Linked DNA regions of Drosophila melanogaster. The protein of the gene in region 3 interacts with the protein of the main gene of each other region in a pairwise test. Each region holds a gene or a part of one and is shown on either strand. Other genes may lie near its edges. The genes, in order: Pus7, elB, CG14369 and Cpr92A.

The links.
Region 1: the proteins of CG14369 (region 3) and Pus7 interact in a two-hybrid assay, tested with the Drosophila melanogaster proteins (one large-scale study listed by BioGRID).
Region 2: the proteins of CG14369 (region 3) and elB interact in a two-hybrid assay, tested with the Drosophila melanogaster proteins (one large-scale study listed by BioGRID).
Region 4: the proteins of CG14369 (region 3) and Cpr92A interact in a two-hybrid assay, tested with the Drosophila melanogaster proteins (one large-scale study listed by BioGRID).

What each region holds. Positions count from the first base shown.
Region 1 is NT_037436.4:8,506,623-8,515,713, reverse strand, and holds Pus7 (pseudouridine synthase 7), read right to left. Parts: upstream 5,712-9,091; 5' UTR 5,630-5,711; coding exon 5,511-5,629; intron 5,451-5,510; coding exon 5,263-5,450; intron 5,202-5,262; coding exon 4,830-5,201; intron 4,775-4,829; coding exon 4,672-4,774; intron 4,613-4,671; coding exon 3,190-4,612; 3' UTR 2,707-3,189; downstream 1-2,706. Other genes in the region: CG6765 (uncharacterized protein), read right to left, coding at 1-330, 549-625; CG6683 (uncharacterized protein), read left to right, coding at 867-1,014, 1,073-1,518; ZC3H3, read left to right, coding at 6,070-6,737, 6,836-7,381, 7,479-7,674, 7,733-8,116.
Region 2 is NT_033779.5:14,404,956-14,413,512, forward strand, and holds the start of elB (elbow B), read right to left. Parts: upstream 4,595-8,557; 5' UTR 3,482-4,594; coding exon 3,413-3,481; intron 1-3,412. UniProt on the Drosophila melanogaster protein: May negatively regulate Notch-induced cell proliferation in the eye-head primordium. May act in leg and wing primordia to negatively regulate body-wall specifying genes and thereby promote appendage formation. Required for tracheal development.
Region 3 is NT_033777.3:13,589,306-13,596,103, forward strand, and holds CG14369 (uncharacterized protein), read right to left. Parts: upstream 3,353-6,798; 5' UTR 3,310-3,352; coding exon 2,971-3,309; 3' UTR 2,327-2,970; downstream 1-2,326.
Region 4 is NT_033777.3:19,594,801-19,601,920, reverse strand, and holds Cpr92A (cuticular protein 92A), read left to right. Parts: upstream 1-2,965; 5' UTR 2,966-3,086; coding exon 3,087-3,095; intron 3,096-3,429; coding exon 3,430-4,158; 3' UTR 4,159-4,419; downstream 4,420-7,120. Other genes in the region: CG7333 (uncharacterized protein), read right to left, coding at 58-475, 536-794, 854-1,040, 1,105-1,247.

The DNA.
Region 1 (9,091 bases), on a different chromosome or scaffold from region 3:
GAAGAGCTGGTGCGGCAGAGGCCACGGATCTTGAGGATCTCACCGCCGCGCAGGACCTCGTTAAGTATGTCGTTGGAAACTGTGGCCTCGCCGCTGTACATGTACTGAACCAGGATCTGGATGGCGCGATGGCTAAGATCCGGCGGCAGGACCACATACAGCACTCCATTGGGATTGGTGATCGGTGCCGTTTCGAACATGGTGGCGAAGAACTGGGACGAAGCACTCAGGATGAACTTGTGGGCCGAGATGCCCACTGTGGGTATATCCGAGGGGATGCCGCTGCTGTTGTAGGAGCTGTACAGAACCACATCGGCGAACTTTTCGTTCCTAAAGGGGAAATATGATGCGTTAATATAGCATATCTACGTATTTTGTAGTACTCTTGGAGAATATTGAAGAAGGGTTCTTAGAAAATGTGTGTTTAATCCTCTGACCCTGATACATTTAATGTTTTTAACATTAAACAATTAAAAACGCTGCTAGATCACAATTACAAAAAACAAAAAACTTCAAATATGTACCAACTATGGTACAGTGGTACTTACTTATAAAGTGTGGCTATGGAAGAGTTAAGATAGGTGAGGTGTGAGTCCCACTTAAGGTGATAGTTTTCGGCGGCCATCTCTGCGGCCGGCAGCTCCTGTACAACGATAAAATCAATAAATAAATCAATAAATGCCGCCAGTGGGGTGTTTATTTTGAATCTCCCGATCCCACCACACCACCCAAGGAGTGGTGAATAGAGGGTTTAGCCACCATGCTCTTGTGACAGCATATTTCTCACACGAAGCAACGGTCATACTTATTCGCTAGCTTCCATTTGTTTACATATTTTCATTTGTGTTTATTTTGAAAATATCAAAATGTCGCAGTTCGACACGCGACTTATTGAGCTGGTTAGGGCTAATCCCAAGCTTTATGAGCGCGAACTTAGAAACGCACCCTACGAAGCGCATAAGAAGCGACATCCGGAAATCTGGAGCAGCATCGCCACTTCATTAAATTCAGAAGGTAAGAAACTGATAAATTGTATAAATATTCCCTAATTCCTCATTATATTTTAACTTAGCTAGTGCCTGTGTCAGTCGTTGGAATCATCTGGTGGCCAAACAGCGTCGGGAGCTGGCCAAAGAAAAGGCCGGAGGCACTGGCTCCGATTGGAGTCTTCTGCCGCATTTGAAATTCCTGCAGCATCACCACCATCCGATTAATCACCGAAATTCGGGTGATCTGAGTAGGAGCACACTGAAATCCAGCGACGAGGTCAACGATGATGAGGATCCGCTCCAGGAGGCCATGGATGAGCAGCTGGCCGTTGCGGGAGCTGCACCAGCACCACCCACAAATCCTGCCCATGCAACGCCAGTGGCTCAAGCAGAAAAGAGGATAGAAGCCCTGCTTGAAGGACTGGGCGAAGCAAACCGAATTAAGGCGGAGAAACGCATTCTGGCCTACCTATGCAAATGCAATCTGCGCGCCCTGAACGACGAGCAAATCGATGATATAGTTATTTAGGAAGATTGCCAAGATGATATAGTTATAAAGGAAGATTGCCATGATGATAAGTTAAATACATACATGCCGTGATAGGATATCAAAAGTAGCAAACATCACTGATCATATAATTGTTTAATAATTAAGTCATTTTTGTTATAGTTTATATATCTGGACAATTATCTTAAGCGAATACTAAATAACTTCTTTTTCCAAATGTATGCTTCCCTAAAAAATATTGTTAATCCATTCATTTAACCTAATCTTCGCATCTAATGAAGTTTACTATACAAACTAACTATTGCATTGTATGATATGATAAAACATTAACACGCCTGTGATTAAATAGTTTATTTTATTTGAGGCTTAAGATTAGCAATTTAAAATTCAAGACAACTGGTAAACCCCAAACAAAGCATCAATTGTCGCCAGAGGTCATTTATAGAGCCAGAGACTTGCGGGAGTGTATAGTAATGCAGTAGGAAGCTATCTGTGTGGCAAAAGCCAACTTTGAACAGGCGGGCGGGGAGCAGGTGGAGTAGGCGAGGGAAAATCGAATTGAGCCACGCCAAAAAACTCCTACTATGACGCAGCTGCTGCTGGGAACTGGTCAAAGAGTCAAAGAATGCGCGCGCAAGCAATAACATGTCCAATATCCATGTCTGGATCGGATCGGGGGAAGGCCTCCAGCACGGGGACAGGGCGACGACGACGCCAAAACAAGCATTTAGTTTATTAATTTGACGACTGCCGCAGGGGGAGCAGTGGGCCGAAACAAAAACATAACGAGCGAGGAGCGTCGTGCACCCTTAACGACTGATGCCACACTACCACTACCCCCTCGTACCGACTGAGTCCCCCTTACTTCACACGTACATGGTGAACCCTCCGACGCACTAAGCCACTATATGAACCAACTACTCCTACGGCCAGCCACCTACCCACTAGACCATTCCCATTCCCAATCCCCGGACTCAGCTCTTGGTATTAACACCGTATTATCGATTGATTTCCAGCACAAGCACACAACAAAAATCAATAGGCTGCCAGAGCCAAAATCAAATATTGTACAGTTCTGTGATTGTTTAGTTCAGTGTTGTCGTAAAAGTTATAAACAATTTGTAGACTCGAATGTATACTTACGCCTTAATAAATGGATTTTCAAAGTACGCGCCCAAAACGTTTAAATGCTACATTTAACTGGAAATTCACCTTGTCTCGCCTCTTGGTTTTTTTATTTGGTTTAAAATCTCTTTAAATCACTGGATGAATTGGATGGAGTCCGTGGATTTTTGGGGGACCGTGCTTGTTCGTTATTTGTTGTCAATTAATAATTTGTTATTGCTCTTCATTGAGAACGCTGGGGAAAACCGTGCGACTTGGACTTTTGAGCTGGGGAAACTGCGCAGCGCGTCGCTTGAGCTTTCGCGTTGGTGGCCACCGAACGAATAAAATCGCAGTCAAAGAAACAGGACCAAAAGGACTCTCCCAGGCGAGAGAGAGAGAGAGAGAGAGAGCGATTGAGATTGACGGGGTGCGAGCCACGGGATGCGACAGTGAGAGAGAGAGAGAGAGGGAGCAGCCCTCGTCCTCACGTGCGCATTGTTATTGTTGTGGTTGGTTCGAAGTTGGATACGAAGCGCGCGTAAAATTGATTTCCTGAGCATATTGATTTTCGGTATCTCACTTGGCCTACACCGCCTCCTCGGCCCCCTGAGTTTCCGCCTGCTCAGTTTCCTGCCCATCCTCGTCGGCCACCTCCTTTACCACCTCCATTTGTTCCTCCTGGGTTCCTACCGCCTTCTTTTCATTGTCCTCCTTAGCCATTGCCTGTTTCTCCAACTGCGTTTGCGATGCTGACGATGTGTCCTGCTTTAAGAGTTCTCGCAAAAACATGGTGGCATAGGCAGCCGTGGGCAGCGAGAACTCCAGCAGGAGTGCCATGTAATTGGCCTCAGCTTCAGCTGGTTCTGGTGCAACCGGAATGTTCTTCAATAGCTCCCAGTCGGAGGCGATAAGTGTATCCTCCGGCGTATTGTACATTCTAAAGCTCCACTTGAGATCACTGGACGATATGATCATCTTGCGGTAGGCGCCAGCCAATGCGTATGTCTTCTCCTTGTGCTTCAGTTGATCCGAGGAAAGACCCACTTCGGCGAGCATTTCCTCGTACCACGCGCCGCACTCGTTGCTGGGATAGGTGATGTCGTGTCCAGGCAGGGGAAGGACCACATCGCAAAGTTTGTACTTGCCGCTAGCGATGTCTTCTGCTGTGAGCGGGCGAACCTTTCGCTTGAAAATCGACTCCTCTTCGATGGCTTCATCCCCTTCGGGGACTTCCAGAGGTTCATCGTTAGGCTCCTCTTCTTTTTGCTCTTCCAAGGCCTCGCCCTGCTGCGCCTGCTCTTCCGAGGCTTCCGACTGATCCTGCTCCACATAAACCAAATCCCCGGGTATCAATTTCAAGCCGAACTCCTTAATTCGTCTAGACGCTATCCTGTTGAAGATCAGGCTTTGGTAAGCATGTGGATATAGCATGAGCATGTTGCGTGGTATCTGCCGCAGAGCTGATGAGTAATCTGATTCACCAAATCTGGCCAAGCCGTCCAGCAGCTTCTTTTCGATGAACTTTTCGCCGTAGATCTGTGCAGCTGCCGCCGCGGAGTCGCGATTTTTCCACCACTCCTCGCGTATGGGACGCAAAAACTCCACATCCGAGTCCCGGGGTTTCAGGATCAGTTCGCAGGCCAGTTTGTAATCGTGCTTGAGCAGAGCAACACCCACCTCATAGGTTGGGACACTGGCGCTGTTGCCGAACCGCTGCAAGCCATAGTAGTTGATGAAGCCGCGTTCCTTCAATGATTGCAGTGCCTGCTCGATTTCTTCTCGCTTCTCCTTGGCAATGTGTCGCAAGGCAATACGAAAACGATTGCCCTGCAAATCGCCTAGCTTCAGTGTATTGGATTCGAATCCAAAGTTGCCGATATGAACATTCCGTTGGGAGCGAGCTGCAACCAAAATGCTCTCTGGTGTACGACGCTTGACGGAGAACTTCTGGGTGGTTTTGGCCCGCTTGTCCTTGATGCCGCTGTAGTTCACCTGCGATGGTCGTAAGCTGTAGAAAAATAATGTTTTCTTAGTATATTAAAGCATTTAAAATTTGATCAAACTTACTTCAGTCGCGCTGCTAAAGTAGAGGCCACATCGCTGGTAACCAAATTGGTTTTGTGCACCAGGAAGGTCACGTAATCCGCCGGAAAGCTCCAGCGTTTGTCACCTATGGAATTCGATGCATAAAAAAAGGAATTCCCTGGGTAATCATTTCTACTAACCGCGTCCTGGCTTTGGTTTAAATACTTTTATAGTCTTCTTCTCCTCTGCCGGCACCTGTGAGTCTTTCTGGGTTGAGGTTTCACCTTCAGCCGCATCCTTATTTTCCAAAGATGCCTCCTCCTGGACCTTCGGCTTAGCCTGCTGCTGTCCAATGGTTGTGGACAGTAGCTTGCCCTTGTAAAGCTGTTTTATCATCTGGTGGACTTGTGTTCGCTGCTCCTTATCCAGAGTGGTCACATCAATCTCCACCTTTTGCTCGATCGCGGGATCGTTTTTGGCCTTAGCCAGATTGGCTATATCCTGCCAAACTTCCGGGCCGATTACTGCCTCCAGTTCTTTCCGCCAGTTGTCCAGTTCGTTTTCGGCCACAGCTGTTATAGTATGAGATGCATGAGCATAAGCAAGTATGCAGGATAATTGGTGAATACAGACCCACAATAGCCACTTTAGGCACACTGAGATCGTTCAGTTCCAGAACCTTTCCATTGCTATCAATCTCGTTCACGTGAAAATCAGAGAAGCGAGACTTAAGTATTCCCGTGAAGCCAGGTGCCTCCGGGTTAGTGAACTCCGTAATGCCCACTTGGGTCTCCAGCAGCGTGGATTTCTGTTGTGGAGCACTTTTGTCCAACGAAAAACGCCGGTTAACAACGATATTATTTATGGGATTTAATTTGTACCTGTTGCGCTGACCGCCACCATTGTTTTGGGGGCGATCCTTCTTCTGACCACGCCAGTTGCTCTTGTTGTATGGCCCGGAATGGTTATTCCTACGTCCTCTGCCCCGATCCTTGCCCATCTTGGTTCAAAATTCGCGTTTGAAAATTTGTCGGCAAATGAAATCCACGTTTTGCACAACATATGATGTGCCCATTCACAATAAGCTTTTTAGGTTTATTAGGGTGGCCGCATGTGCCATTTATTCGGGAAATAGATTTCTTAAATGGTTGTTAGCATAAGTTCATCCGCAAATATTCCTCTTTTTTTATATTGTATGATAAATATAATTTAAAAACATGCTTAATATTAACATATCATAAAACTTTTGTTAGTATATTTTCCTCATTTATACTTCAGTATTTTTTGGTATTTTTCTGGTCCCAGATCAAGTTCACACTGCGTACGTAATGTAAAGAAAATGTGCAATACAAAGAAGCATTGGAAAGAAGTGTAAAAATTGAGAAATAACCAAAAATTGGAACGGATTAATTCATTAGGTTAAGCCAAGGAAGCAACGAAATGTTGCCGCATATAAGTGCCGACGAGGCACAGCCGTCTATGTCGCGAAAGGTGTACATCAATCCGAATTTTCAGCTGCAAGGTCAAACGGCGCATCAGCTGCCGTTCCAAGTGCCCTTCCAGGCGTTCCAGGCGCCACTGCAGCCTCAGCCCGCGATCCATATCAATCCGCACTTTCTGAATCGCCAGCGGGCCATGTACGACCAATACCAGCGGGAGCAGCAGGAGCAGCTTATGATGCAACAAGTTTCCGCCTCGCACTATCGACTGGATCCAACGATACACCTACTGGCGACTCCACCTCCTCCGCCCGCCAAGATCATCAGCAAAGTGAGCACGTGTCTCGTGCGCAAGCCATCAGTGGTGGCAAGTGGTCCGGCGGTGAAGCTCGCTGCTTCAGTACCTGTGCCCACTGTTTCCAGCCTGGTGCAGCCTCCATTGGTAAGCATTTCCAAGCGGAAAATTGTGAGGCAAGGAGCATTGAAAGCAGCGCCAGCGGTTGCTGCCCTCCATCCTCCTCCACCTGCTAAACGCACTAGGTACAAATTAGTGCGTTCCATATCACTTACCTGCACACCGCTGGTCAAAAAGCGTCGTCCTCTACGCGAGTTTGTGGGCCAGTACGCCCTGAGACGCACCAATGAAGCGCAGCCCAACAGAAAACTGAGGTAATGAAAATCGGATACGAGCAGTTGAAAATAGTCAAGCAACAGGCGACTCTGTTAGACAAGGTAATGTACATCAACTAACTTAACTTTTATTACAGCTCCAAGCCGCAGGCGCTGAAGCTGGGCGTTAACAAATCCCTGAGCATGGTCAGCATACACGGTGTGATGTACAAGAAGATATCGAAGAACAAAATAACCAAGCTGGATGCCAGTTCCTCCGCTAGGGTAGCCAAATCGGAGAGTCCCAGGACCTTGCAGCGTACCTTGTCCGGCAGAACGCTCTTCGTCAGCGGCAATAAGTTCATTTTAGATCCTTCCGGCTGCCGCCTGACCAGAGTTTCAACCTCATCAACTGGTGCTACCCAGAGTAGCGTAAATCGTAGCATCCTGAGGCGCATCGATATCGGCGGCCTTACCTACGTTGCTTCGCCAAAGGCACTGAATGTCTTTGTACGCACCAGTAATCACGTGTCGCGAGCCCATTTAATCACCGCCAAACAGAGAAGCCTGACGTTGCTCAACAAATCGTTGGTGAAGACCAATGTGCCTTGTGCCATCTTCCAGAAGCTGGGCAAGTGCGTTGCCCATAGTCGTGGCAAGTGCCGCAAGCTGCACGACAAGCGGCAGGTTGCCATCTGTGTCAGGTTTGTCCTTGGCCAAGCGAAGAGTGCTAAACCTTCGATGGCGTCCAATGTTCGAAATTCGCAATGCGGTTATCTTTTTGAAATCATTTACTTGCAGCTTTCTGCGCGGGGAGTGCACCAAACCCAAATGCCTGCTGTCCCATAATGTCACGCTGGAGAAGATGCCCGTCTGTCGGTACTATTTGCGCGGCGTTTGCGTTCGCGAGGATTGCCCGTACCTACACAAGAAGCTGAGCAGCAAGACCGAGATTTGTATTGACTTTGTGCGCGGCTACTGTCCGTTGGCTGCCGAGGTAAATAGGTCTGCCACTTATTTTCATTGAAAACCTATTAACTCCAAAACATTTTAAGTGCAACAAACGTCACGAGTTTTCCTGTCCCGAGTTGGAGCGCAAGGGCAAGTGCGAATTACCCAGGTGCGTGTTCTGTAAGAAGTCGCCATCAAAGCGATTGGCCAAAGTCAAGTCGCGTCCCAAACTGGGCAGTAAACCTGTCGCCTTCACGGATACCGCGAAAGAATCGTCTACAGCGGATGAGTTGCCCACCAGTTCACGCTACTTTGGGTCCCACAAGGAACCAGCGGAAGCAATATTGACTAGAGATGATGTGGAACAGAAGAAACCTGAAGCGGAGGATGAGGATCAGAAGGAAGCGGGTGCCCCTTGCCCTCGACGACGTCCTCAACTGGGAACTCTACCCTCTTTTATTCCCTTAGGTGGCGAAGAAAAGCTATAAGGCTATGCGAAGGCTATGGACCCAACGTTTCAGGTACAAATTAATTCGGTTAAGTATTGTTTTAACGTTTAGTCTAAGATTTATCTTTAGTAGCTTATTTTCAAGTTTTAATAAAATATTCAAAAAGACAAATTTATTTGCGTAAAATAAATAAAAGATACATTTTATTGGTTGGGTATATATTTGCTACGCTCGAGGAAAATGTAAACATTTGCATTAGTCGTTTTATGTTGTTTATGTATATAAATTATTAAACTAAGATTATTACCAAAATAAATCACAGTTTTTTCGCGGTGTATTCAACCATCTGGCAACATGCCGATCGTGCAGTGTGACCAGGTGGCACCACTTGTTGTTGGATTTTGTGGCGCCACATAGTTGTGTACCTGTTTTTAAGCCGCTCTCTCGATTCGAGTCTCGATTTTCTCGCCACAGTTGAATTTTGCATGCGGCTCGTACAACACCTGAACAACAAACGCGGATTCCGTTTCGAGCAACAACAAAAACAGTGAGTGTGTGTTAGTGCTCGTGCGTGTGTAGCGGTGGCTCTTGCAAATTTATTGCTCACCAGGCCAAAAAGAAAAGCGAAAAGGCTGTGAAGTTACCAAAAATAAAATGCGGACCACAAACATGGGAGATTTGCGGCAAATGGCCTTTGAACTCGTCCACTGGCTTTGACATCTGTTCGCGATCGGGAATTTTCGAAACTCTCTTTCACACAACGTCTCTCATTCGCTTCGTCTTGGTCCAGAAAACCAGGCCAAAACCATTTTCCAACCGAATTTTTGTTCAATTGTGCACTTGTGGCTGTTGGTACATTTTTTCCGATACGTTCTCGCTTTGGTGCATTCCTAACTAAATGCTACTAATAACAAGAGGAGAAAAAAGAGAAAAAAGGAAGGCAATCCGAAGATTGGCCAAAGAGGTGAAAAAAGTTGCTTGACTTGTTTGACCCGCGTTTGTGTTCCAGTGTGT
Region 2 (8,557 bases), on a different chromosome or scaffold from region 3:
TACGCAAGCATTTAGCTTTCAAAATGATATTTGCCATGAATGGTTATGACTATGGTTTTGAATTGAAGGTGGGGTTTTCGGAGGTGTTGCCAGCACGATTGGATGGGGCCGAGTTTTAACTGATAAATGCCGTTTAATTGTTACCCTAAACGGCAATAATATTGTTTGTCCGAATCGGAAATACTGCGTTGGACGCTGCTGTTCGAGTTTTATTGCTCTTTCTATTTCTTACTCGATATTTATAGTTGCTTATTAACGAAATTGGATCGTTAAATTTATGGTCTCACCATAAAATGTCATAAATTTATTAATGATCTGCCGCAGATATCGATCCAGTGACTATATACTTTTTTTTTAAGTCTGTTCCTAATCGGTTTCTTATCGCTCCGCAAACCCAAGTGTTTTCCAGATAATCTATATGAAATTCAGTCCAATTGCAATTTCAACAGGCTAAGCTATTGTTAGACAGATCGATTGATTGATTTGTTGGAATTTATTGTGCATTTTGATTTGATTAGGGTACAGTACATGATGCATAAATGTGACTAATGCTTTATTTATAAACGCTGATAAGAGGCAGTCTAAAAATGAAATGATCCGTTTACTTCAGGCGGGATTTTATCGACTTCCTGAATTTTTTTCATACTATTAAACGATCATTGTTATTATTTAGGCTTAGGAAAATGTATACACCTCGTGTAAATTGACTTTTAACCCAGCCCAACCCCAATTAGAGTGCCATAGCAATTTCGCTGTACATCTTGTATCTCGCTTGTCTGTCTCGCATTTCACATATTTAAAATGTTCCAAGAATTAATTAACACTTTGGACAAAAACTATTATTTGTGTGCGAGTACAAAAAATTAACATGACAGCTCTAGACATGGCAATTTATCACCGGCATAACACGTTGGAGCAACTCTGCTCGACTCATTTGTTGTAGCCTGTAGCCAGGCATTTCAGCTGTTGATGACACTTTAATTAGAGCCACACGCAAGCACAAAGCCCAAAGAATGGCCCATTGGGGGCGAAAATTCGCAGGGGAAAGGCCTGAGACGGAGCCGTTATGTCAAGCGCACACTTTAACTGCCAGATCCGACCAGTTGTGTTGGGTTTATTTGGTGGCCCAAACCAAACCAAACCAAACCAAACCGTACGCTGCCAAGCAGCCTGTGGTTAACTGAAATGAACGTCGGACTGCATAAATGGCCGCTTGACTGACACATTTAATTATATTAATGATGTTTGCGGTCAGCTGACATTTGCACTTTATTTACCTTTTTCTGCTGCTCTGTCAGTTTAACTGTCTGTCTGTCCGACTGACTGACTGACTGACTGGTCTTGAGCTCATGTTAAGCTCTGACATGAGCCCGCGCAAACTGGAACCGAAGCTGACTTTCACGTTCACGTTCACATTTCAGATTTCAGATTTTGAATTATTGCCCAACAGATAGCTCAGCAACGGTCGCATTTATTTCCATTTTGCGACGCCGCTGCCTTCTTCGGTCAAAAAGTTTTGTAATTTTTCAACGTGTGACAGCAAATTATCAACAGTCACTTTGAAGATCTCTCTCTTTCGGTTTCTGTGTTTCTGTGTATGTCGCTGCTTTTATGGGGCGCCACATAAAAGATATACAAATGATGACACTGACAGCTGTCAGGCTTAGTTTATTTGATTTTATTATAATTAATTATAAGCAGCTGCCATTAATCATTGAATAATTTATAAGTTCGCAGATAGTATCGCAGATAAAGCACAAAAGAAGAAGGTTAGTCAGTCACCGGCAGACACGTAAACATAAATTAACTCAAAGTGCCGCGCGTAAGCTCTTAAGTCTCTAAAGAAAAACGTATTAGCAAGAATATTTGTTCATTACAGTACTAATAGAACGTCATAAATAATTAGTGCGAGTATACTAATAGAACGTCATAATTTACTGATCGACAGAATTTGAGATTACATCTCGTTGCTTAAAGACGCAACACTTAAATTTTAATGAAACCCAGATTCACAGAATCTGTCAGTCACTTGGCACCGGAACCAGTTCATCATTGGGCCTCGTATGCATATACGATCCGTTGATTTATGGGTTTTGCCTCATTTGCGCCACTGAAAAGCTTTCACACGACCAATATGGAAATGGCTGGGCTCTACTCTCCGAAATCAGTAAATCACGTAGCTCCGAAAACGCTATTTCAAATTACCCAGTTAATGAATGTACTCATCGTGCTGGTGCCATAAACTGCTTCCGTTCTTTACGAACAAAATGCGCTCAACAAATTAAAATGAAAATTTATGAGTCTCACGCCATTTCGAAGAGAGATAGTTTTGGATAAAGTGAGTGGGGGAAATGGGGACCACAACAACTTTGACTCTGATTAACTGCCATAGTTCCTCGAACTACGGTCGTGTGTGTGTGTGTGTGTGCCGGTGTGTGTAAGTGTGCGAAATTGCATTTGTTTTCTGTCATTATAAATTCAAATTTGGCGCGCCATAAATTTAGATACAATTTCCAGAGGTGCACTCGACTCTCTAAACACTTTCAGACGGAGGCAACTGGGCTGCAGATTTACATAGTTTAATATGAACAAACATAAATAAGTTTTATGTGCAGATATTGGAGAATTTATCGTTTTACGATTGTGAATTCGCTATTTGCCTCTTCCCAGACCCCGCAAAACAGTTCCGTTTTGCCAGCACATGGCCCAAAGTCTTCTGGAAGTTTGGAGGAGGTTGTTCGTTTCGGATTGGTGCCGTAGTTTCATACATATTTCGCCAGTGGCGAGTGCTTACAGTCGACATTTTTATTATATATGAAATATGGCTCGACAATCTATTTCAGATGTCTGAAATGTCGATAGTTTGTTATTCATAGCTGCAAGTTTTATAATCGAACGTAGCGAATTGGGTGTTATTGCTAGAATTTGTACTACTCTTCTTATCCTGTTTAAACCATGACTATTCTGGCATTTTTCTTATTCATATTTTGATATATATAGAACTTAACCCTTAACAAGATTTGTTCTACTTAACGATCGGAACACCAAAGTGAAATAATAATCTCTGAAGAGAGTGTGAAGAATGCGAAAACAAATAATACGAAATTTACGTCTTCTTATCAACATTTAAGAATATTATTAAATTTTAAGACCAATCAATATTTGAAATAATAGTTTTAATGACTTTTAACCGAAACTGTTCATCAGATACCTATCCCTTTCAATTAATATTTTATCCCATATTAGATAGCTAAACCAACTCACTGAAAAAGAAATCGCAATAATCACTGAGCTGTATTAGGCGATAAGCGCTAAGTCCATATAAACGCAATAAATTTCTGATTGCCGAATAAAATACCTTGTGAGAATTATCCCCAAAAACCCCAAAAATGAGACAAAGAGATGGGCTTACCGCTGTTGGGGCAGCTGCAGCTGTCATATAATCCGGTCTTAAATAATGATGATTGCTGGATTGCAGCATTTTATTATAATTTGTTAAATCCACTTTGACGGCTTTTCTTTGGTGGTTCGGTGGAGGTGTTGAGTGGTTGTTGCTTTTGTCCCGACCGCAAAGTACGGCAGTGCGCTTAACGGTAAGTGCCAATTTATGTGGCGTGTGCTGCCAACTCGTGTGAAAAGCGGCGCCTGCGCCTTGCTTGAAATATTTTCCAGCTGCCTGACTTTTCGCTGATTAAGCCGTCCACGTTTCGCGGTTCTCGTTGATGTGAGTACTTATTTATGATAATTTATTATTGTGTTTATTTTTTATTTTTCCTCTTTTTATTATTTATTCCGATTTCGATTCGCAATCGTTATTGCTGATGCTTGCTGGGCTTTGTTTGTAATTCGATTTCATTAATAATTCAGTGCTGTGGCGCAGGGGGGATTTCTCATGCGTCGAGTTGTGACTTTCACGCCAGCGGCATATTAATTTGTTGTTGTGATATGCTGGCTTCGCTTTAATTGTGCAATAAATTCATTAAGTATTATAATTGCCTCAGCGGTATTTATTATTTATATGTGTACACGATACATATGTGTGTAAAAAAGAATTTACACACTACTTTCTTTGCTGGCTTGCATCTACAATATTTACGTTTGATTCACGCATGGGCTTTTACAATGTATTCATTTATGGGTTTTCCTTTTGTTAGATATACATAGGTATGTATGTACTTTATTTATTTCTTTGGCTTGGCCGTTTTTGGTTAGTGGTTTCGCTCGAATGCCTCGTTGAGGGCGCGTTTTATGATGAGGCACGTACGTTATTAGATGGTTCCGGGAACGTGGGGTTATCCAAAAGTTTGCTATTTACTGAGCTAATTTTGTTTCACATGTATACTTTGTTTTAAACTCAGTCTAATTTTGATAAAGCACAAGGATCACTCGAAAACGACTTAAAAAATAGGCGATTGTGTTGACTTTCTCGTATATATTTTGAAAATTTTTTTTTTTTTGCGTTTGGGGGAAGTGCATATGTATCCGCCTGGCCGATTTTACGCTTTCGCACTCACAACACAACACTCCGGTCGTAGCAGTCCGTCCGTTCAGCGCACGTACGAACTTTAAACGTGAAATAACGAAATTCGACTAAAAATCTATAAACAACATGACGTGCACGCTCCTTTTCGCTCTTTTCGTATCACCCCCACTCTCCAATCGGCTCTCTCAGTAGTTTCGCGCTCGCTTGAAAACCAGTTCGCTCTTTGTTGTTTGTGGCCGTTTTCGTTTTCAACAAGTGTGCTTTTGTTGTTGTCCGAGGCCATGCGCTCCCCTTTTTCTTAGGGCGCGAGAGCGAAAGAGCGAAGTAGTTGGGGCACGAGAGCAAACGTTTTTAGTTCTGCGCTCTTTGCTGAGCGCGCATGCTTTTTGCTGAGGCAGCGAATTTCGCGTGGGAGCTGAGAGCCAAAAAGCGTAGTAGAATTGGCGGTTAGTAGTAGACGGATACTATGTGACGGAGAAGCAGTGTTGACGATGGGAAGTAACGGAAATTTCTGGATATTTTTGAAAATGTATATTTCCGCTTTAAATTTGATAAATAAAATGAAGGGTAATCACGGTACCCGGTTGTTTAAGAAACATTTTTTTATATTATACTTATGTACCAAGAATTATAAGGATTTTTTAATATTATTAAATAAAATCTTAAACATTTATTATACACATAGTAGGGAAAGATTTTTGGAAATTTGTAATTCTGAGCACAAGTAAGTTCACACTTAGATCAAGCAATAAGTTTTAAATATTGCGTATACGCCCAGTTGGAAAGTTTTTCTTTGCGCGCTATCATTGAGTACAAAGCTAAAAAATTCTAGAAATGTGTAAATAAAATATTGGAAATTAAAAATAGAGCCAACACAACACACACAACGCTGGGCACACCGACACCAACACGCTCATTGGACGATCGCCGCTTCTGTGTAGCCATTTTGGGTAATTTTGTTGCTGTTGTTGTTGTTTCACAGTGTTTTGTGGGGAATTTATTTCCACACATGTGTGTGCAGCCATGGCGCCTGTGTGCGTGTGGAGAGCGGAACGGCGTCGGCCATAATTGTTTACGAGCAGGTGGGCGTGTGTGTGGCGCTCGTTGGTGTGCCAGTGTGAGAGTGTGTGTGAGGAGGGGTTGGGGAATGTGTTAAAAACTGCAAGCCGAGGAAATATGATTTAGAGCACCAAACGAGAGAACCATTTCCGTGGAGAGAACACGATTTGGTGTATTTCCCTCACTTCGCAGAGAGAGTTTTCCCCACTGTAAACAGAAAACAGCTGGCGAAAATGAAAATCTCGGGTTGCACATGATGACGGGAAATGTCTGAGACGAACTTATCCCTCATTTTGCACACTGAAATCAATTTTAGTTTCTCACTTAGATGCTATAAATGCAATAAGAATGGAATGTTCGAAAGTAATATCGTAACATCTTTAACATTAAAAAATGTTAATAAAAAAAAAACAAATTTGTAATTCAAGTTTGCCGATTAAATTTCTCTTAATGCTTAATATGTACATATGCAGTTTAATATCTAAATCATAGCTCCCACGTTAGGGCAATTTAAGAAATCAAATATAGGAGTCATAATCTCTGGTTAAATTGCTCTATTGGGTCCGCATCATCGTAAAAAGCAAAAATGGTCGTAAAAACACAACCAAGACCACGCAATTGGTTAAATATTCAAAAGGCGAAATGCTGCTCTAACTTTATGGCATTAAAATGTTTAGGATTTGAAAGAGAAATACACAATTATACTAATCGTGGCGCTTTGAATTAACAATCAATAATTTACATATTTCGGCCATATATTGACAGCTGCCACTGCTGCTCCACGCCTTCTTGGAGCATTTTTGGTGATGCTCTCATAAAATGCCCCCGTCCATTGTGGATTTTTGTCGTGTTCATTAAGAAGCTTTTGAAAGTTTCGCCTTTCAAAAACCATAAAATGTTTATTTAGATGCCACTTTAATGGCGGACAGAGTCAAACGTTTTATAGCTTCCTTTTGTTTCACAATATGGTTTTAGTTTCGTTTTCGGACTTAATAGACTCATTTCTGGTTTAACACAAAACAATCGAGTTTCAATTAACCACACAAAAAGTATATGTCGTTTTCGCTCTCTGGGTAAACCACAAAATTAAGTGGCTAACAGTATTTTGTGGCCACAACACATTACAAACCACACAAGCGAACTGAAAAAAGGGAAATTATAATAGAGAGCCGGGTTTGCCCATATCCTTTTTTTTTTTCGTACGCGTTTGTCTGCCGCGCCCAAGCGAATATCCCCAACAGACAAATAAGCGGGGGTGCGTTTTTCACGGTGCGGGGGTCGTTTCCGTTTCGGGCTTTTGTTAGCATTTTAGCAGTTCATTTATGCGGCTTACAGGACGAGGAGGCGGCACATGTGACCGGAAAAGCCCTTTTAGTAACACAAAATGGTCACCAAAGTGGTTGAGTGCTTGTTAGTTTGCGGGATGTCTCGGGAATAATTTGAGATGTGACAATGGGCTTGGAAAAACTTCCTCATTACTATTTGACTATATATTTACTAGTCTTTCAAAAGGTATCTATAAGTATGCAATGTTTTGCTTCAAATAAAAACCCCATCGCTTTTGTAGAACTCGCTATACTAAATGTGTAAGCATTTGTTTTATTAAAACGTTTAAAAGTAGTTCATCAATATTAATGTATTTCTTTGTTGAAAGCAATAATAATAAACTAAAATGCATATGTAATTATCCGCAGTGCTGCCATTTGTATGCTGTACCCTCTTAAGAGATGCTGCAGTCCTCGGCTGCATCTACTTACCCGTTGCTCGATTGCAGTTGAGCTTTACCCCTTGCCACGCTTTCTCCTATGCTTTTCATCTTTTTACCCTTTGGCCACATTTTCCGGGCGACTTTCCCGTTGTATATGTGTATGAATTATGTGCTGCACTCTTTTTTAACCCCTGGCATATTTTACAAGCTGCTTTACTAGCCCCGTACTTATACTTTGCTCTCCAATAAACATACAAACGCACTTACCCAGTGTTTGTACATGGATGTCAGGAGTGTGTGTTTGTAGGGTTTTGTGTTTTTTTTTCATGCTCGTTTGTCGTGGCCTCAAGTGCGCTGGTGAGTTCATAAATTTGCCCACTGGGGCGTATGAGTAATGTGCCAAAGGGGCTTTGCTTTCTTCATGTAGAACTGTGTGCAACACACACAAAAACGGTTGGGAAATGAAAAAATCTAAAAGCCATAGTCCAGCAGGCAACATATGCAGCCTTCAATTTAATATACTTTACTTTCAGAATTTGTTTTCAAAAGGGGCGAAAAAGCTTAAAGCAAAATAATGTAACTAAGCTGTGTCTATAGATTGAATTCCGTTTATACAGGACAACCCTGACTACGTTAGCTGTTAGAAACCTCAAATCTTTATAGTTAATTAAAATAAATTAAAGAAAAACATTGTATTTTTAATACATCACGAACTTATGTACACCATGTTCTGCAAGCTGCTAAGCATTTCAATTTCCTTTTCTTTGCAATCTCTAAGCATCTAATGTTTATTGCCCATTATTATAATTGCGCAATCTTTGCGATGCAAAAGGTGTCCCGGTCTTGGGCCAGTTTTCCTTCAGTTGGCCACATCCGGTCAACTGGCGGCGTTTATCATAATTGCAGTTCATTTGCATGCCCGGGAAAATGCAGTTCGCTTTTCACATGTACACTTTTTGCCGCTGCTGTTGGTGCTCTCTTCATCTTTTCTGCTGTCGCCTGTCGCCGCCTCTCATGCGGCAACAGCAACTGTCGCCGTTGCTGTCACTTGATGTCGCAACGCATTAGAATATGTTGCATGTTGCCCCTGTTGGCCCACTACGCGCTCGTCCCTGCCCAGCAACTGGCAACCTGCAACGGTTGCAGTTGCATATGCAATATGCAGGCGCGGGCAAATTTTTATCTTATGACAGCTGCTGCTACCTCTGTTTTTTGTAATGCCCTTACTGAGAGTACTTACATGTTTTCCAAATTCTGGTGAAATACTACTTACAGTTGGTTTTTGTCTTCAAAGGCTTGTTAAATAT
Region 3 (6,798 bases):
ATCCGTGTATCTGTATCTCTGCCTCTGTATCCGCATCTGTAACTGTATCTATGGTCACTGCCGGGAGCTTTTGGCTGAGAAAATGGCCAGCTCTGGATTATTTGAAGCCGACCGAGTGCGTTCGTTCGGCTAATGGAGTTGTTCCAAAGGATTCAAGGAGTAAGAAGTGTGTGTGTGCGCTGTAGCGCGTTAACTTAAAGGACTTTTGATAATGTATTATTTATGTCTTACCTCATTGTTGTAGTATTAGATATGCACAATAAACCCACTGACTCCTTTGGCAAAAGAATGCCACAATAATTTGCCGGCATCGCCACTTGGCCGAGAACAAAGGCCAAAGGATTTAAATCAAAAGTGCTCCATTCGAGCCCTTGATCTGTGCAAACCGCCCTCGCTTTTCACAGATTTCAAGTGCGAAAGCGAACGCCGCACAAGTTTTCATAATCATGAATATTGTTTATCGCCCTGTGAGCAGCTCCAGAGTTCCCAGCCTTTGCAAGTGCATTTGAGCATAATGAGATAGACTCCTCCGTACGCCGAGCTCCGTACTCCGTTTTCCCGACCCCGTGTTCCATGTTCCGGATTTCAGACTACGGCGGAGTTGATTCGCAGTTGAGTTGCAGTTTAAGCCTCTCGCCAAGTGCTAAGTAAAAAATAACCGGGCCATAACAAAAGACTACAAAGAAAAAGTGGTCTTTAGACACTTGACATAGCGCATTGAATAAAGTGGGTATGGTATACATAGAAGCCCTTTTTGCACTAACAAAAAAAAACCCCCTTTAATTGGCTGGCCATGGTATTTGCATGAAATGTTGTTTGAAGAGTTTACAGCGTATTTACACATAGAATTACATAAATGCTGAGCGTATTAACTTTAATTGAAAAGTATTTTTAATTAATAAATTTCAACACATTGGCGCCAGGACACACACACACTAACATAATTGCAAGTGCCCACTCTGCGCGTTAAAAGGCAATCATCACAACAATAACAATATAATGTCAGCACAAACAACTGCATCCGACATATTTGTATGTAAAGTATATATATGTTTGTATATATATATATATTTATGTATATATAAACTGTATAGTACATCGTATTGATATGTCAGACAATAACAATGGCAAACGGAACAGCGACCGGCGGAAAAAAGGTTAATTGACCAACAAATAACTTAATTAAATCAAATGAAAATTAAACAATTCAATTTTTAATGAGGTTCGCTGGTTTTGACCTCGTTTCAATTATGAAAATGCAAGCACAATGGGCACAAGTGCCCGGAGTAGGCAGCTCCCGGATGACTGATTGGCCGGCTGGAGGTCGTTCCCGCCCATCCGGAAAAGCGGAAAGCTGGAAAAGTGGCCGTGGCACATCTGACAGCTCTATTAAAATTTCGAATACCCTCAATTTGGACCGCCTTTTCACAACCACTTGCCCATTCTTGTGCGTGAAAAAGGTGGTCAGACGAAACTATTAATTACAGGTGGTTAACAAAAAAAAAGGGGGTAAGCATGGGATTTTGGGAATGGGAGCCAAGTGCCCGAAACATGTGTCTATCTATCTACTAATTACTAGGATATTTAAGCATAAAGTCCCTTCAAATACTAATTAACTAAAACAAAGTTTCCCTATCGTATAGAACTAAAAGTAATTTTAAAACTCTTGAAATATTAAGCAGAACTCTAAATTGAAATCATGGTTTAATGTATGTTGAAGATTTTAAATATCCGTCCATGTATGACCAAAAAAATAAATCAATTTAGTTTTATATAATTATATATGGATACAATTATTTCAATTCGCCCACTAATTAATACTTCTATCATTTTTAACATTTAGCAGGCAATATAAAAATGCATTTCCATTGAGTTTGTGAGACTGTTAAGGCAAAAATCACCATTGCTGTTACAGCAGTCCTGTTGAATCGATAATTAATTTTTAATGATTTACAACGTGACAACTGCTTGTATAACGATAATTCAATATTATAGCAGATCAACTATCAAAACTGAAACATTTTCCGCTGCGCTCTCTTCAACAATTCACAAACCGAATGCGTTCATCTGATCCCATTGGGAGTGAAGTTCATAAAAAGGGCATAAATTATGTAAATTGATTAAAAAATTGAGCATACCTCGGCAATAAAATGATTATAAATCTGAATGAATAAACAATAGCCACTTGCGAAACTGCAACAACTGCAGGACAGCACTTATAATAGAGTAACAATTTACAACTGCCGGTGGAGTGGCAATTGAAACTAAGACCGTTGAGGAATGTATTTTATTTGATTTGGCTGGTTCCCTTCTTTGGTTGGTTGTTATTGTTGTGCGTTTAATGAATTTTATTGATTGCAAATACAAAATAAGAACAGCATCACGTAAATGGAAACCATTTACAGCTTAAAAATATTTAATTACCAACCGCCCATTGCCCACCGCGCCGATTGGGCAGCGGATTTTCGATGGGTTGTTGTGGGGTTCGAAATGTTTCAGGTCTTGCCACCAAATTGCAATTAATCTTCTTTTAACAGCAAACTTTTGATCCGCTTTATTTGCATTTCGCTGCGGCCCCACAACAACAACAGCAGCAACAAATAAGGTGGTCCCACGGAGGGAAAATAACGAAAATGCTTGTCATAAAAAATTATCAAGGGTTAAAAATTATGTTACGCGTTTCATTTTGGTCGCTGCGAAATGATTTATGCAAAATCTGTGCAAAATGAATATAAATTGTGCAATTTCATGTTCTTCATTTTTTTTTTATACGCGCCCCACCTCTTCAACTTAGCTCAACTTTTTCCCTGTGTCCGGCAAATTAATTTAAAAGCACCAACAATAAGTAAAATAACAAACTGCGAAAGGGTCGACGCCGCTCCTTCCTGGCCATTATTTATAATCTCACATTGAAAAGGGGTTCTCTAATCGATTTTTCGCTCTGTCTTTTCGTTCTCTCACAAATCTGCATTAACCGATGATAATTTTCTGATAGCCCAGGTAGCCGGGATAGTAGCCACTGCCATAACCATAATAGCCAGGCGATGGTGAGCCATAGTAGTTGTACGGATAGCCAGGATATGCCCAAGAATAGCCACTGGCCCAGTTGAGGAACGGCAATCCGCCGATGCTGCCGCTGAAGAAGATGCCACGCCTTCGACGAACCGGAAGCAGATTTCGCTGCGAATCCGCAGCGCCGCCAATTTCCTGCTCCAATGACAGCAAATCCGTTTTTACATAGCCAACTGGTGCCACATCCTTGTCAACAGCCGACGCGCCACTCAAGTGCGTGCCCAGCAGCAAAATCATCGCCAGAGGCAGCAACAGCAATCGCAATTGCAATGGCAATGGCATATTTAATTATTTAATTTAACGATGAAAATATGATATTTATATTTAATTCAATCGACAAACCGCGTCAATGATTTCCACACAACTGCCAGTCAAAGAGCCGCCGCTGTTTCCTATTTATATGTAGAGTGAGTACTTCGATTGAATTTAATGCCAACACCATTGGCGTTTGTTTTTAAATTTAAAGCTCGCTAATTGAAGCCAATGCTAATGCCTTCATTCAGAACGCCCGCAAAAAATTGGTGGCCAATAAAAAGCAGTACAAGAGCTGAAGACAAAAAAAAGGTTCTAACAAATGTGACGTATTAGTCGAGCCAATCAATGTGGTATAGAATCATAGGAACTCAAAACAGCAGATGCAATGAAGATTGGATACCCTAATGTTATTTATTTTAATATAAATAAAGATACTGCTAATAGATTTATTAACATTAAATTATGCAGAACTTTTTTTCTATAGCTATGTTTTCCCAACTTTAAATGAAAAACCAAGCACATTATTTTCAATGCGATAGGTGTTCGTTTTTAAGTATCTTAATTGGAGGCAATTAAAATTTGTTTATAAAAAATTCAGGAGCAGTCAAAACACGATTGCAAAAAGTCATATGAAATAAAGCCGGGAAAATTGTATAACTCAATCAATACGAACACGATACTTTCATGTTGCTGTTTTATGTGAAAGGTGCAATTTTAAAACGAATTTTTAGGATTATGTAACCTATTTAACCTACTCGAACCGAGAAAAATCATTTAATGTGGCTTTGTGGCTTGACCAGGGACTCACAACACCCTCTCGAAGCTTATACCTAAATCGCTTTATGAACCAAATTATGAAGGCTTGACAGCATTTGTCTGATGCTCGTCGCAAATACCCTCACTACTGCCATTCCGACCGAACACCACCCAATACCACTCATTTGCCGCCCGACAAAAGTGCCAGACCTTGTGTCCCTTTTCACACATTACGCATACGCCACGTTGTTGCGTTCTTTCATTGCGTTGCGTTCGCTTTGCTAGCTCGTTGGCTGCCAATTGACACATTTCATGTTCAGATATGCGTAAATAACAATTATTGTAATTTTTCAAAGCGCTCGTTGCGAGACAAAGCGCAGACTTGTGACAATTCAGCGATAATACATAAAAGCGTAACCTTAACCGACAGCGTGTAAACCTTGAACTTGAGTGACATGGGCAAAAAGGGCGCCAAATATTTTTTTTTTTTCTTTCTTTTTTTTCTCTTACCCTCTTTTGTGTACAATGTTCCTGGCTGCCGTTGTACTCCTCACCCCTATACTACAATATATAAATATGTGCCGATTTGCCCATGTCGGCGTGAACATACAACCACATATGTGTTTGCCAATGTGTCAACATTTTAGATTGCCTTGCATGATTTGCAAGAAAAATGAAGACAATAGTTGAGTTTTACACTCTCCACTCAACAAATTCAGCAGAAACAACAGCAACACGAGGGCCAAGTACCGCTGTCAGCATGTCACGCGATTTGTTGCCTCCGAACGAGTATGAAATGAATATATTTGTTATAAAAGAAAGTCATGGCCCGCTGTTTGTGGGTGTCACCGGGTACTTTTTATCCCCGATTAACAAGTGCAATGCGCACAGAGTAGACACTAGAACGATGGTAAAAGGGTTAAGCGAATGAGTGGTACCTAGTAACTACTAAGCTGTTTTTAAACTAGATATTCCAGATTTAAAGATACTCTTCATAGTTCGCTATGATAAATGGGTATTTGCTATTTTAAACATTTAAATTATATTAATATGATTAATATTTTAATATTAAATAACAATATTTATAAAATAAAAATATATAACATTTTGCCAGTCTTATACATACATGTGCAAACCATCTGAAATGTACCTTGCACTTTGCTGTAACTAATTTCTAAAGTGGAATACTTATCATTTCGATATTCTAGCCAATATCCCCCATTTTAAGAACTAACCTAAAAAACCCCCTGCAATGAGAAATCAGAATTGGGTTAGTTCCGTCTCCGTCGTATTTTAATTCTATTTGCACATTCGGGTGAAACTTGCAAATACAAAGGCGAACTATAAACAATGGCAGCGAAACGAGAACAAGAAATTGCGTTGCCCAGATAACTTCAACAACTTTTCGCGATTTCCGCGACTTGCGACTTTTGTATTGTGTGCATTTGTCTGCGTGCTATCTATGTTCGATGAGTTTTCCACTCTCTCTCTCTCTCTCTCTCTCTTTCTGTCTCTCCTGCTATCACTATCTACTTCTGTGGCTGAGTGCGTGTGTATGGGTGTGTCAACAAATGACTCGAATGAAATTTATAAGCAAAGTTAGCTGAACGCAGTGGCAAAAGTTGATAAGGGTTCGCTCGGTGGCAAGTGAAGTTTTTCCCCCAAAAAGCCAGAGAGCCAGAGAGCTCATCCATCCGCAGATACCAAGTAATGGTAACTGGGGCGGGGATGAGGAGGCATAGTTGCGGTACCCATTTTCCGCCCAGTGTTCAACAGGAGGCCAATAACAAGGCCAATGTATTAATTTACGCAAGTCAAATTCAAACTTTCAGTCGAGTTAATTAAATGCCCAGCCAGTGCAGGAGAGCTTAACTCAAATAGAAACTAATGATAAAAGGCATTGGTCAAGAAGCGAGATTCTTGGAAGACCATGCGGATTCCAAGAGATTCCGGCGACTGCCGGCCAATCGAGCAGGCCAGGCCAGGAAACGGTCAAGCAAAGCATCATGTGAATAATAAGCTAGAATCCTTGAATACGCTCTCAAAAGGAAAACCCCATCCCAATGACGTGCCATGCCTCAAGTTGCCCGGAAGAAGTGCAAATGTGAGCCAGTTAAACCCTCAAGCAATGAACCCATTGTGTTCATTGAATTCTGCGAAATTGTGGGCTCTATCTGTGTGTGTACAATTGAAAGGATTAAAGCTTAGGTATTTCTGAGCAGAAGGAGTTCACAGCAGCGTGAAATCCCTTCCCCCACCAACATAAAGAATAATTTAAAAGACTTGGAAAATTAACACAACTCGATGTTCAACATTTTCACGCACGTTTATCTAAGCCCAGGTATTAAATTACCTTTTTTTAATTAAAATTATACAAGTACTTTAATTAAACAGGCCTTATGCAAACACGATAAGATATTTTCCGGTATTTAAAGATTATGAAAAGTGCATCCACCATTTTTCGTTCGCCGCATAACGATATATAAATCATCTCAATTAAAACAGTTGAACTGCAATTAATCCTTAACCAAATGCATTCCTTTTCATTTTTCACACTTTTCCGGATCGACGATAAGTCGTCGCCTGACATCCAGCGCGAGAAGGAGTGAGATTTTAAAAGGAAAAACCACCGCGGAATGCAACACAATACAGATTTAATTAATAATTATAATCATATTTGCAGTCGCCGCCTTGCAACCAATACTTTTGTGGACA
Region 4 (7,120 bases), 6.0 Mb from region 3:
CTACAACCGAAAGAAGGCATTAAATAATGCACTAAGATCCAAAAGTAAAGAACTTACGACTTCACGAGCAATGTCAAAGTGAATCGACGCAACCGAGGGGTCAAAAACATGGCTAAGAAAGTGTCCTCGTGACTATTAAGCTTGTAATCCTGAAGTTCCCTTTCCCGATAGTATTTGACAAACTCATCGAAAACGGACTCCTCCACATGTCGCCTATTGAACTTGGCCACTTTCTTTAGACAAATCACCGCATCGTCGTACTTCCTTTTGGTCAAAAGCCACTGAGCACTTTCGCAGATCAGGAATGGATATATAAGGACACCCAGTGCTGGAAGAGATGCCAGCCAAAGGTAGCGTCGCCAATTACCAATCCAAATGGCGGCCCAGGGCGAGGTCATCAGTCCAAAACAGTAGAATACAGCCAAGATGATGTTGAGGCCAAAGGTACGGCTCTTGGGGCTTAAGTACTCAAAGACTGACGATATGGGGAACGTAGATTAATTTAACCTTATATTTTGATTTAAAGTTATATTACCCAATATGTACATTAGGTAGTACATGGTATCAGTGGATAGCCCTGACATAAATCTGGAAAAGGCGAACCAGGGCAGCGTGTGCACAAAGGAGGTGATAAAATCCCCAGTTGCACCACACAAGGTGGCCATCAGCAGGGAAGGCAGACGACCTACTTGATCCGACAGATAGCCAAAGATTATGGTGCCCACGACTGAGCCCATGAAGAAGAAGGATTGGCCCACTGCTGGATGATGCGATTTGTCACAAACCCATTTGAGCTGAAGTGGGTTTTCTATATTGTAAATCTTTTCAACAACGTTTTTCAATGGCTTCATACCTCGGTGGTAATGCTTTCGTAGCCGCTCTCCCTGTTAAAAATCCAATTCCTGCACTTTCGGTTCGTAGATACAACACCTGTGCCGTTGACTACGCCCAAAAGGGGCGTGCAGGATGAGGCGGATATGTTTTCATATACCGAGCGAATCCCTTCAACACTGAGACCATTAAGGTCAGCATGGAAGCACCTGCATAAGAAAGATTGGATATTACATGGTCGGGACCAATCACCCATTTTGTGTCCACACTCACCAATGCTCTGGTGTGAAGGTGATAAGGGTCTGCGAAAAGTAGTGCAGTGATCCAAGAATATTTGTGTAGCCGTACAGCAAAAGGATCATCACCTGGAACCTGCCATAGTTTCCACACTTATCCAGAACCTGACTGAAATCCATCAGACGTTGCTTCGATGACATAAAAAATTTCCAAAGCGACTGACTACTTCCAACTCCCTTTGAGAACTGACCAGAAGCTAAATTAAACTGCGCTGGGAATAGCCATAAATTTATCTTTAGCGGCTTTAGGCAATATGTTTCATAAAGCTAAAACAGCTGGATGGGTTTTAAAATTACAGATATACCGTCAAATGTTTTGCCAGCTGTGAGCCCTGTAATTGGGAAAATATCTACAGGAGATGTCACATCTATCGCGTAAGTTTTTGTCGAAACAAAATTTTTGCAATTAAAATACCTACATACATACCAATATTGTGCTTAACTAATCCATTATTGACTAGATTTTCCATTCAGCCATATTGGCAACTTTGTAGCATTAGCCTGCCATTCTTGTTGATCAATTGCTTTGATCTTCTGGCTAAAAATAGTTAAAACAGCTGACATCGACTGGCCCGGCGGTTGGCACGACTTTGATTCTTTGTTATAGTTAGTTGTCGCATAAACAGGCCCGATGGTAACAGCAAGGGTAAGACAATGCATGCAGATGTCAATAGTTTTCCAGATGCCAGATACAAATTTGCAGCCATAAATTAAGCTCACAAAACGGTAAACATGAGAATTGTCGCAGACACTTGGTCGTTAGAGGCTGGAAAGGGTATTTTTGGCTAATCAGGCACTCTTAGGAACTAGCTGCAAACTTTTTTGGTCCTTCCAGAAATTATCTCAAGTTTATCATTGATTATAAACTATGTAACTGATCAGTATTCCTATTACAATGTGTCCTATCATAGTCAGCTTTTAGCATCTCCGCTACGTAGCAACCATTTAAGGGGAAGATCAAACAGAAAACCAGTCTTCAGCTGAAGGATCAGTCATGAGTAACCTTATATAGTCGTCATGCCACTTTTTGAAGGGTATTATTAATGACATTATTTGCCTAGACTGCAAGTGGTTGTTTGGCCTGGTCTGTGGGCCAGACTAATGTGCCGACAGCAGCGCGTTGACCTTTTGCTTTATTAGGCTGTTGTGGCGAGCCAGTCGCCCCTGTTTCCGCCCCCCTTCTTCGGTGAGCCTCTGGCTTTTGGGCCCACTCCAGGCACTCTTAATTCAATTGTGGACCACCTGACCTTTTGCGCATGCGCTGCAACTGCCATTTCATATGGAACCTCAACATCGCCCGGTGCAGCTTGTTCTTCTTAGCTAATTACGCGGCAGCCAAATGCAGCATATCCTAACATCCAGCCAATGTTAATGTAACATTTCAATTGTGTGCGGCAAAATAAATTTTCACATAATTGCCAAAAGTCGGTGTCCAAGCGGGTATTGAAAAGCGAATCGAAAACGAATCGTAAACGTCGCAAAAGTGAAAGGGCAAAGCTCGGGTTGGATTGGCTCCGGGGTCTGGGGACCCTTTAAATGGTTTAGCGGAAGAATAACCTTTCTAAGTCGACACGATAACTGCGCCAAAGTTGAAGCCAGGCACACGATTTGCCGCCAGGTGGGCAAGAGTCAATCCCCGCCCCCGTGGCTCCGCAGTACTGGTCCGCGCCATGTGCTTGATCGCTGGCCCAAGACACCGAAGACTCCGTCTGGCCGGGTCTCTCTTGATCTGAAATTAGTTTATTGCCTCGACTGCGCCATGTGAAGCAGGCGACATTTGCCGCCGTTTGCCAGTATAAATGGCCAGAACTTCCAGCGAACGCTTGCAGTTTTGGTTACTTCTTCTAGCGCGATCGTCGTCGAAACCAACAATACTCCGGCCACTCTCTACGTGTGGTGTCTGCTGAGTCTGTGACAACTGTGAGCGAGTGGAAAGGATACCCCTGCAAGGACATCGTTATGCTGAAGGTGTGAAAACAAAGGATACCAAAGTGCTCTTATAGTCTGGACAATCAAGTTTAAGCCGATTTAACATATTCTCAAGGGGAATGCCAAGATGAATTAACCAAGTGTTCCTATTACTAAAAGCTTATATTTTATTCATACAAAGAAAATTAGTGCATAAAGAAGATAGTTTAAGTCCTAATGAAACCCGTCGAATGATCCGAGTTAATATGTGATTTGATTTAAATTAAATTTAATTGCCAAGAATTATTCTAAACAATTCTTCCCTGTCCTCATATTACTTAAAGCTTATTTCAATTTAATCGCTTTCAACATTTTCTTTTAATTTTTTTTTCAGATTTCCCTGCTGAGCGCCATGCTCGGCATCGCCTATGCGGGCGTGATTGGACCCGGACCATACTATGGCGGTCCAGCTGGTCCCGGACCTCTGCACCACTATGGAGGATATGCACCGCAGCATGGGCCCCTGCCAGGTCCCTATGTGGCGCCCAAGCCGGCTGCTCCCGAACCCTACGATCCCGACCCGAAGTACTCCTTTGGCTACGACATCCAGGATGGTTATACTGGTGACCTGAAGTCACAGCACGAGACGCGCCACGGAGATGTGGTGAAGGGCAGCTACTCGGTTGTGGATCCGGATGGAACCAAACGCACCGTTGACTACACAGCGGATCCCCATCACGGATTCAATGCGGTGGTCCGCAAGGAGCCGCTGGCCTACAAGGCACCAGCCCACCTGGCACCCGTCGTCGCACCTGCACCCGCTCCAGTACCAGCTCATTACGGCCCAGCTCCGGCGCCTCCACTTCCGCCGGTGCCCAAGGCTCCTCTGCTTTCGTATCCTCTTGCCTTAGGACCTTACCACCGTGGTGCTCCCGCTCCTGCACCAGGTCCCGCTCCCGCTCCTGCTCCAGCTCCGGTGTCTGTGCCAGTGGCTACTCCAGTCCTGCCCTCCGCCCACTTCCATGCCGCCTATCCCGCCCTGGCGCACAGCCCCTATGCCCACTATCCGGCTCCAGGTCCGGCCCCCGCTCCAGTGGAACCCCATGCCTACTACCATCACTGAGGGACCAAGGTTCTCAACTATCTGATCTGATTTGATTCGACTTCATCTATCGCACGCAGCTTACACTGACCCAAAACTGAAACTCCGGCTATATCTGTGCCAAACGCTGTACTCTCAATCTCTTACTCTGTGTTCTTCGAGGGATTTGATACCGATCCAACATGTAGATTGATTCTAAGTTACCCCTAGCCTATGTACACGTCTTTAAGAAAATGTTGTTGAATGGTTAGTCTAGGAAATAAAACGAGAATTGAAAAACCTAACAAATTTGTTTGCGGTCTTCCCTAGAAACTATTAGATTGAAGTTCCGAAGCCAAGAAGAAAATAGTCCCACAAAAAGTTTTTAAATAATTTAAAAAACAACGTTTTAACGCAATTGATGAGTGTTTTATTTATTGTATCAACTTTTCGCAATGGTTCATATATGTATATGTTATATGATATCGTATGTGGCATATCTCATATGTATAATTTCTGATTATGTATAAATATGTATATGTGTGTTGTATATAAACGTTTCGAGTATGTCACCGTATGTTATAAATAAGTTTATTACAATGCATAATGTGTTATTATTTATGTATTATGTTTTATGTTTAATAGGTTCTATGAGCTACCATTCGTAGAACATACTGAAATGTTTTCGATATCGATATAAATTTATGTACTCCTCAGCCGACTTCAAAAGTTCATCAGTGTGCAGAGTGCGTTTTGGTCTCGCTGCACTCGATTAGGTATACAATTTAAATACGATTATAGTCCTTAGTTTTGTAATAAACGGTATCAAAAGATAGGTACAATTGAGTCATGCCTGCTACCACTAAATTAATTTCGAAGCTTCTATTCCAACAAAAACGATTAGTTGCCAAGCTCGGGGCTTTGTGTCTATCATTATCCGTCTGATTGATTTGATGTGTACGATTATTTAAACTAAGGGTCTTTAGGCTGATATACCATACAAAAGTGCTGTGCTCTAGAGGCCTTTACAGTTGGACACAATTTAGCTAAGTAATCTGCTTAGAATAAGAGACTAATATACGGTGTACATACCGCTAATATAAATAAGCGGCTAATATAGCTCACAGTATTCCTTGACAATTGTATAATATTTAATTCATAATTTCTTCGTTGATTGTTTGGCTTCGTCTCGGACTTCTCCGTCCGATTTCCTCGTCGGTTCTCGCGTTAGGTAAAAATCTATTGTAGACAACCACTGGATGATGAAGACTATTTCGGGATATGCTTGAATTGCGTTGCTTGATATCAGTTGTCAGTATATAAAATTGTGGACAAACAAATGGCAGCTTTGGCTATTCTCAACTCAGATCTCAGTTACTAGACTTGATGCTTTTAAATTCGTCCTCGACTACGTACTCCTAGAGATGGCTTTACCCATATAAAGTTTATATATTTGCCGTTGAATGGGATATGTTTCACTAATGATTAAATAGTTGACTTAAGCATTTTTGTTTCGATTTTGGTTCATTTGTTTATAACTTGAAACGGAGGGTTTTCATTTATTAAACTTGATTGGTTATTGGTAGGACATCTTTTCCACACTACGTTTCGGTTTCGGTTTGGGTTGGTACGGTTTGGGTTAGAAAAATACTCATAGTTGGGACATTTTACTACACAGAAGTGGTTGAATAATTTGCTAACTGCATTTTGTTGATAGCTATATCTCTTTATAAATAATTCTTTCTATATATAGTATAGTCGTGTTGCATTTTTTACTAAGTGCCCGAAAATTCTAGTGAAAAGTGAACCTAGCTTAGATAATTTAAGCTGATAGATGAGAAACATAAATGATAACAGTTTCTAAAAATGTTTCCATATTGTCCTTATTTTCGTTCCTAATTTTTGTATAATTTCGTTAACTAAAGGTGGAATTTCAGAGGAAATAAACTAAAGAGTTTCATGTCAATATATAGCTAATATCTGATATATCCATAAATATTTATCCATCTATGGCATATCTAGGTTAAAACTTTACTCTCTTTCGGATATATATTTTGCTTATGTTGATGTGAGTATTGTACGATTTTGGTTATCAAGTTATAGACATCTATATGTATCGATTCGATTAGTTCTTTGTGGTATTTAGGTATTTTAAAGCAGTTTTCAATATCATTTGATTCGTAAGTATATCTGAGTTATCCAAGTGTAATTTGACTAGTTTCATTGGAATGTTGTGGATTACCTAATATATTTGAGGGTTTTGGTAGTGGATAAGATTCGATTCGATTTGATTAAGTAGATAGAAAAGGTGGTCCATTTAGTGATCGTATTCGTCAGCATATGATTAGGTTTATGAAGGTCTTGTTGTCTACCAACCGAAAACAAAATAAAAGTATAAAGACAGTGATATTTAATAATAGTTCTTTAATTAAAAACATTGCAGCACACTTTCAGTTAGCACAGATATTAATATTAAATAATATTAAGAAATAATACACAAGAAATCGGAATAAATAAGGATACAAATTAAAACTGATTGCATGTTTCGAAATTTACATTTAAAACACTTATTGTATAAGCTTTAAAATGATATGAAAGCTAACCAAAAACTGTTAGCTGGTTCTTCTTGTATCTTTGAAATTGATTTGCTTCCTATCAGTTGTTTGAAAAAGGTGCGAGTTATAACAATTTTTCATGTACTAGGAAATTATGAATATGTTTCATTTATGATATAGTTGTTTCTTTTTTATTATATCATTGGATGTAAGTATGTGTTGGAGTTACAGCTTATCTAATCTTTAAATCATTTCTGCATTATTTCCAGCTTTCAATATGTCTCACTTATGCTTCGATATTTGTATATAATATATATAGATTTGTATCTTTCATAACTACTAAAAAGTGTTCTCAGCTTACTCGAAGCTCTTCTTGAAATTCTTTTCCATCTGATTCTTCGCAATAGTGTATAAATATATGTACCACAATAGTTATATGGATCTATCTT